Linked DNA regions of Oryctolagus cuniculus. The protein of the gene in region 2 purifies or fractionates together with the protein of the main gene of each other region. This does not show direct contact. Links are inferred from orthologs where the notes say so. Each region holds a gene or a part of one and is shown on either strand. Other genes may lie near its edges.

Region 1 (3,813 bases), on a different chromosome or scaffold from region 2:
TATTATGCTTCTTTGATTTTAATGACCTTTTGCTTTGCTTTTCCTTCTTTTGTGCTGCAAACATATAGTGGATTTATGGTCTGTGGGGTGCATTATGGGAGAAATGGTTTGCCACAAAATCCTCTTTCCAGGAAGGGACTGTATCCTTGTGCTGCTGCAGCAGTTTAGTTAGGTGATGGACTTCCTTCTGTTCTCCAATGAAAATAAGATGCTACATTCATACATACCATTTTTTAAAAAACAGACGTAAAGTTTGTGGCTGTTATAGTTCAAAAATTGTTGATAAGAAACTGAAATATTCATAGGCTGCATCTGGCAGCAGGACATACAGTCTCTGCTGGTAGTCAGAGCACATTCACTGTCACTCATTTTTATTTTATACTGCTTTTTATAATTTGAAAGTATACATGGTGTGCGTGACTTTTTTTTAATGTTTATTTTTTTTTATTTTAACCAAAATCTTTATGTTAATGTCATTGCATTTTGTTTTCAGTTGACATTTGGTCAGTTGGGTGCATCATGGGAGAAATGATCAAAGGTGGTGTTTTGTTCCCAGGTACAGATCGTATCCTTATCTTTGGCCTAAAGTGTAGTTTCTAAAGGTCAAAATGTATGACAGCTGGGTCAGGTATAATGCATCTGTCTCTCCCTAATATAAGCATTGTTAAATTATTCTTTCAAAATACCACCTGCTATTGGCATAGACTTCTCCTTTCCCTCATTGATTGTTTCATAAGTTAATACTGAAACCTGCTCAAGTGTAATCACCCATAATTACTGGCTGGCTTTGAGTTGATTTATTGAACTAAATCAAAAGTCATGGCTTGCATTAAAAATTTCTAATAATACACTTGAGTAAGTCTAAAAACACCTACAACTTAATATGAATTTTGGAATTATCTGTTGCATCTGGCCATCCTTCTGTTTTGTCTGTTCCCCCCCACACTTTTTGTTACTGTGTGTATTTGTGTTTTTTGATTGTTGTCTCATCACTCAACATACTGATTCTTTCATCTGAGAATTTCAGCAGCAGTAGTTTTATGTGGTGGTGGTTAAATTTTGGTTCATGCTTTTTGTTCATCTGACTGCTTTCCATATTCATATTAACACTGATCTCTTAAGTTTTTGTTAACTGGTAATGCTTAGAATTCTTTAGGGAGGAAGAATGAGAAAGGTCACTTTGAGTTTTAGAATGAGGACTTCAGGGTCTTGGAATTCTGTAAAAGCTAGGAAAAAGGAAAACAGGGAATCCTAACCTTAAAATTTATTGAAGTTGCGGATCTGTTTCATAAGTTTCAGAACTTTACAGAAAATTAACATCGGATAAATAAAGAATGGCAAAGGAAAATGCCGCTTTTATCAAAGCCACAATTTTTCTTGCTACTGATTATTCTCTCTTGGTGTGGAAAACTCAAAGGCAAAACAGATTGTAGAAATATTTCTTATTCTCTAGGAAATGCATTCAAATTTTCTGATAATTTAGAAGAAAATGGCAATTTTGTATGTTAAAATTATGTATAGTTTACATTTAGAATCCCAGTGGATAGTAATAACCATGAGTTTTTTGTTTGAGTTACTTATAATTAATGTTTACAGTGTGGTCAGGTTCAGCTTCTGCTTTTATGGTGAAATCAGTCTGTACACACACAGACACACACACAGTCAACAGGGTCGGCAGAGCTCATTCACTGATCGTTTCTGTCACCTACCGTCAGTGCCTTTTGCAAGGTGGCTGTGAGATACAAAATTTATAACCGCCACATTCTTTCTTGGGATTTTAGAAATTTCCATTTTCTTGTATTTTAATGTGGATATAACTAATGTGTCGAACATTAGATACAGAGTATTTTTCTTAGCTACTTGATATTAGATATTGATCAGTGGAATAAAGTTATTGAACAGCTGGGAACACCATGTCCTGAGTTCATGAAGAAACTACAACCAACAGTAAGGACTTACGTGGAAAACAGACCTAAGTATGCCGGATATAGCTTTGAGAGGCTCTTCCCCGATGTGCTTTTCCCAGCTGACTCGGAACACAACAAGCTTAAAGGTACTTTTTACAAACATGTCGTCCCATTTCATGTGTGGGGTGTGTGCGTATTCATATTCTTATGGGACATAAACCCAAGGTTATCTGTGGATGGTGGGATGAAGTGAGGTTTTAGTTATTTTTATCTTTAATTTTATATTTCTAATCCTATGTATGACCTGATGCTATAGTAAAATTTATTGTTTTTAAAACATAGGCTTTTAAAATAAAAGATAATATCAGGTTTCTGAAAATTTATTGATAAATTGAGAACCTTTCTGAGTACAAGCATGGTAACATCATTATGTTTACAGCCAGTCAGGCAAGGGATTTGCTCTCTAAAATGCTGGTGATAGATGCATCTAAGAGGATCTCTGTAGACGAAGCTCTCCAGCACCCATACATCAATGTCTGGTACGATCCCTCTGAAGCAGAAGCCGTAAGTTCTTTCTTAATGTTTGAAGAATATGCTGCATTTTTAGAGTTGGCATTAAGTTACATTTGCAGGAGACCTTGTACTTTTAAGTAAAAAAATAGGAATGTTATAATGGTGTTTTCTATTTTTACATGAAGAGCGCCTTAAGCTAAGGTCATGTCCAAGCCACACCTATACAAAATCAAGTCACCCCCTAGTATTTCTTGCCTTGATACCTGATCAGAGGGACAGAGAGGCTAGGATATTGAATGCTCTGGGAAACGTCTTACCTTAGAAAAAAATTATCTTATCCAAAGCCTTGCAAAGTTCTGTGATATAAATGTGCAACAAAGTCAAAAGCTGGAGCAAAAGATAAGCATCATTCTTTCTGCAGTGAAGGAATCTTCCAAAACTGGTCTGTCTATATATATAAGAAGGTTGTTGACGATTGATCAGTCTTGGTCTAATGGTGCATTTTTACAAGTCTCCTGTCTGATTGATAATACTCCCAATAAACTGTCTCCATTATTGTTGCTTTGTGTTTTCCAGCCACCACCAAAGATTCCTGACAAACAGTTAGACGAAAGGGAACACACGATAGAAGAATGGAAAGGTAACATTTATCAGATTCTTAGAAAATTGAAAGAGCTTCTGCCTCTTTGAAATGTGATTTGTTCATCATGTTAGGGAAATTAATGATATTTTTCCATTATTCATAACTGGTATTTATTGATAATATGATACCTAATGTTTTTACAACAGTGGAAAGTATGTCCCTTTCTCTCACTGACCAAATTTTAATTTTCCAAGTTCTCTACCCAAACACAAATACACATTAGTGTTTCTCTTGAATTTTTCCTTAGTCTGTAAAAATGCAGCTGTATTTGGTGTATGCCCTCTCCCTTCTCCTACCGTTTGTAAGTCACAGATTGTTCTACACTATGTGTACTATGCACACTTGCCTTGTTGCAATAATCATACATCTTGAAGGTGTTTCTCGGTTCATGTGACTGCCCCATTTGGTTCTGCTCTGTGATGTATCACAATTTCTATATCCAGCTGCCTCTTGAAGAGCATTTTCATTGAGTCTAGTCTATTACATTGATAGACAACTCTACAGTATTCCTGTGCACATGCGAGAATAGGCCTTTAAGAAACATTCCAGGAAATGTGCTGTGTCAAAGGATATTTTTCAGTTATTTCTAACTAATCCCCACAAAAATTTTAGTTGTATCATATAGCTAAGTGTCAGTCAGTGGTTCCCCCTCCCTTTTCAACAGAATGCTAACAGATTAAGAAATTAATAGTATAGTAATCTTTTCTGTTGTATGACTGTAGTTGATAGTCATGCAAATATTAATTCTTC
Region 2 (3,813 bases):
GCCCTGTACTGGCCCCTGGGCAGCAGGGTGGGACCGGTCCCAGCTCACAGGGGGTTCCCAGAGAGGGTCTCTCCCGGTCGCTCGCCCCTGCACAAGCGAGTCATTCTCAGGGATCCCCCTGCTCTCCTGCCTGGGCCCCTACAGACGTGGCCTCCGCAGACGCCCTCGGGCCCTGCCACGCTGCAAGGGGGCTGCGGAGAGGGAGGCTCCCCGGAGCTCACCTGTGAGGATGGCCACGCTGTCAAAGCAGCCGTCCAGCTTGCTGAGCAGGATGGAGAGGAAGCTGTCGGCGGCCAGCACGCTGGCGTCCCGCGTGCTCTGGTCATAGACCACCACGTCCTGCGGCTCCGCGGCCTCTACCTGGGGGCCGTGAGGGCAGCGGTCAGGGCTGCCTGCACCTGTCTGACAGCCCAGCCCCCTGCTGCCACCCACCCACCCCTGCCCAAAGAAAGGGCTGCTGCCTGAGGGGATGGCAGGTGCCCTGCCCACGCCCACACACTCTCTGCCTGCTGGGGGCACAGGTGTGCTCACACCTGGATAGGTATAAATGTCCAGGCCCACACAGATAGCCACAGGGTCGGGGAGGCACAGAGAGGGCTCGTGCCCTCTCCAGCCACACAGGGGAGGGGGGACACGTGTGTCCCCTGTGGCCAGGCTGGCGTCAAGCAGATGCAGGTGATGGCTGGGGGGGGGTGCACCTGCTGGGCACCAAGAGTGACAGGGCACATGGCCGGGGCCTGGGCACAGGCAGAGGAGTTGGGCAAGTCTTTTGGGTGGGGGTCTCGCTGGAGCTGCTGGGCCTCTCCTTCCCTCCTCAGCCCCGTGGAGACCCTGAGGGCTGCAGCAGGAGTGTCTCCCACCCCCACTCCGGAGGCAGCAGCTGGAGGCTGGGGTTCCTCCTCCCCTCCCCCACTCTGAGGGAGGGGCCATGGGGCCAGATGTTAAGCGGCTTTTGCTCAGAGAGCAGCGGCCACCCCCCCTCCCCACCCCAGCACACTCAGCCCTTAAGCCAGCTGAGCCGCCAACCCGGGCTGGATGATGTCACCAGCAGCCAATAGGCTCACACTCCGGCCTGGAGTCCTCGCTGGGGGTGATTAATCACCAGATTCCCCCCACTGGAGCGGCAGGGAGCCTGCTGTGGCTTGGAGTGGGGGCACAGCCAAATGCACCGTCCCACCTGGGACCAGGTCCCGGGCTGCCACATGTGCCCCGTGCCCCGCCGGAGGCCTGGGGGGGGGCACCTGCACGGGTCCCCGGCCCCGGCCTCCTGGCCCCCTTAGCTGGGCGGTCCTGGGGAGGAACGAGCTGGGACAATGTTCCCTAAAGACTGCAGTCCCCTTGCCAGCCCCCCACCCTGTCCTCACAGGTCAGAGCAGCTGCGTCCAGCTGTACCCCTGCGTGGTCCCACCTCCCTCTACTCAGCAGGCTCCTTTCTGAGCCCTGTTTGGGCCTTGGGGGCACCGACCTGCCTTGGGTGTTTGGAGGCAAACTCGGGGAGCCCGGGACCCCCAGGTGGGGTCAGCAGGCTCAGGAAAGAGGGGGCTGGGGAGATGCGGCAGGAGGGCCTCCCTGGAGGAGACACCTTGCAGTGCTGAGGAGCACGTGGGGAGTGGGGGCAAGGTTCCCCAGTGACATCCTGGAGCCCGGCTTCGCTGCCTGGTCCCAGGCCCCCGTTCAGCTGTGGACTCCGGTGCGGCCACGGCCGGGTACCTGGCTGCGCACGGCCGGCTGGATGAGCTCGGCGATCGTCACCTTGCCCTGCTGCAGCCGCCGCTTCACCAGCTTGGAGCAGCAGATGTTCACGGAGCTGAGCACGTGGCAACTGTTGTATTCCACGAAGGAGCGGCTGTCGATGACCAGGGGCCCCCCGGGCCCGCCCCGCAGCAGGCTGGCCAGCTTCCTGGCGTCCATCACCTTCCTCGGGAGCCGGTCCCCGGCCATGGTGGGGCAGTGGGCAGGCTGACCCCCGGAGTGAGGAGGGTGTGGCCTCGCGTCCCGAGTGCCCTAGCGCATGGCAGCAGACCTGAGGGGAGAAGAGGGCGGTCAGAGCTCCCGGGGCTCCAGGGATGCACCAGTGTCAGGGGCCCCCCTCCCCGAGTGTGACCTGAGGCCTCATCGCATTGGGAGGGTCCGTGGGAGCCCTGCCCAGCTATCCTGCAGGCCTCTCAGCAGGACACGGCGGGGCCAGGTGGGTGGTCTCAGGCCGGGTCGGGCCAGGGGGAGCTTCCACGGGGCCCTGGGGCTCACTGACTGACAGTTCCAGGACGGCTCATCCACACCTGGATGCAGCCCTCTCCCTTCTCTGGTTCCGAGGCTTCCCAGGGCCCCTGGCAAAGCAGAGAACTTGCCTGTCGCACTCCAACCTGCCTCTCCCCGCCTCGGCATCTCCCCTGCTCCCCACCACCAGCCTAGTGTGCACAGCGGCTGACCTAAGCCGATAATCCTGGTCACAGTGGGGACTGGACTGACGGGCTCCTGGAGGAGGGTGGGAGGGCTGGGCACTGTGATGGGGGCCACTCCTGCCTCACAGAGTGAGGGCAGCCTTAGGACCAAGGTCAGTGTACCTGGGATGCTTGGGGTGCCGGGGCTTTCAGATGGCTTCAGACACCCTCAGGCTAAGGGGTGCATGGAGGAAGTAGGAGGAAGCTTGGTATCTGGGGCCCCTGGCAGCCCCTGCGCCCCCGCCCCTGCAGGGCCCAAGCTCCCCACCACTTGCCAGGACTGGCCTTGCTCTAGGCCCACCCGAGCCTCACAGCCCCCAAGGAGACACAGTTTGAATTAACTACGGGAAACTGAGGCTCAAGGCAGCAGTAGGAGAAACACAATGTCCACATGTCACCCATAGCAGCCATGATGCAGCTGACCCCAGGTCGGCATGCCCTGCCCACTGCTGGGGCAGCTCCCAGCCCCTCCGCGCGGTGAGCCCCGGCCCCTCTGCTCGCCTGCTGGGGTCTCTGTGTCCAGTCCCCGCCACCTCCCCTGTAGCCTGGGGTGCCTCCTGCTGCCCCGTGGGCCAGTGAGACAGGGTAAATCTACTGAGGAACGTGGCACTTCTGAGCGGTGGGCAAGGATTAGGGGTCGGTTCCCAGACACTTGCCCTCCAGGCTGCACCTACAAGGGGCTCCCGGTCCACTGAGGGGTCCCTGCCTGCCCTGGGCATCTCTGCCCTGAGGGGGTCCCTGCCCAGTGAGGTGACTCCTGGAAGTGGTGACAGGCCACAGCCACTTGCCCTCCACACCCCCACCCCTGCCCAGCACCTGAGAGAGCCATAGTGGGGAGGGGACACCAGGGAGCCAAAGCCTCAATGTGCTCATCTGCTAAGTGGGTAGGTTGTCCCTCAGCTCAAACAGAAGCCAGCAGGACCCCCAGCACAGGGCCTGGCATCCACACTGCCCGACGTGGGTGCAGATCTACCGATGGGCATCGAGGCCAGCGGAGGGGGGCACCTGAGCCCTAGCGACAAGGCAGGCTGGGGGCAGGGGCTGCAGGGGGGCGGGAGGACTGGCTCTGGGGCCTCGTACCTGGCTGGCCCTGCCTCCCCAGGAACACTCGCGCTGGAACGTGGCCCTATTAACCACCCTAGTATTGTTATTTGCAGCCGAGGGGACTCATTAGCAAGTTAGCACCTCCGTTGTCGCCATGGCAACAGCAGAGGCACCAGGCAACGGCTGCTCCTGCGGCTGCAGCCGCCAGCAGGATCCTCTGCAGTGGGCAGGTCATCCTCCTCCGTCCTCACCCGCTGCCTCTGCCGGCAGGCCGGGGACCCCGTGGTGACCCCCAGCCCTACCCTACCCGGTGCTTCCCAGCCCACTT

The links.
Region 1: the proteins of DUSP8 (region 2) and MAPK8 purify together in Homo sapiens (affinity purification with mass spectrometry; 3 studies listed by BioGRID and IntAct, counting the BioPlex papers as one, with this or other methods). This does not show direct contact. The link is inferred for Oryctolagus cuniculus from reciprocal best matches to the Homo sapiens genes DUSP8 and MAPK8.

What each region holds. Positions count from the first base shown.
Region 1 is NC_091446.1:81,421,054-81,424,866, forward strand, and holds part of MAPK8 (mitogen-activated protein kinase 8), read left to right. Parts: intron 1-68; coding exon of another isoform or gene 69-140; intron 141-493; coding exon 494-565; intron 566-1,870; coding exon 1,871-2,053; intron 2,054-2,346; coding exon 2,347-2,471; intron 2,472-2,996; coding exon 2,997-3,060; intron 3,061-3,813. UniProt on the Homo sapiens protein: Serine/threonine-protein kinase involved in various processes such as cell proliferation, differentiation, migration, transformation and programmed cell death.
Region 2 is NC_091432.1:1,916,253-1,920,065, reverse strand, and holds part of DUSP8 (dual specificity protein phosphatase 8), read right to left. Parts: exon of another isoform or gene 2,349-3,813; intron 2,024-2,348; 5' UTR 1,942-2,023; coding exon 1,711-1,941; intron 361-1,710; coding exon 222-360; intron 1-221. UniProt on the Homo sapiens protein: Has phosphatase activity with synthetic phosphatase substrates and negatively regulates mitogen-activated protein kinase activity, presumably by catalysing their dephosphorylation.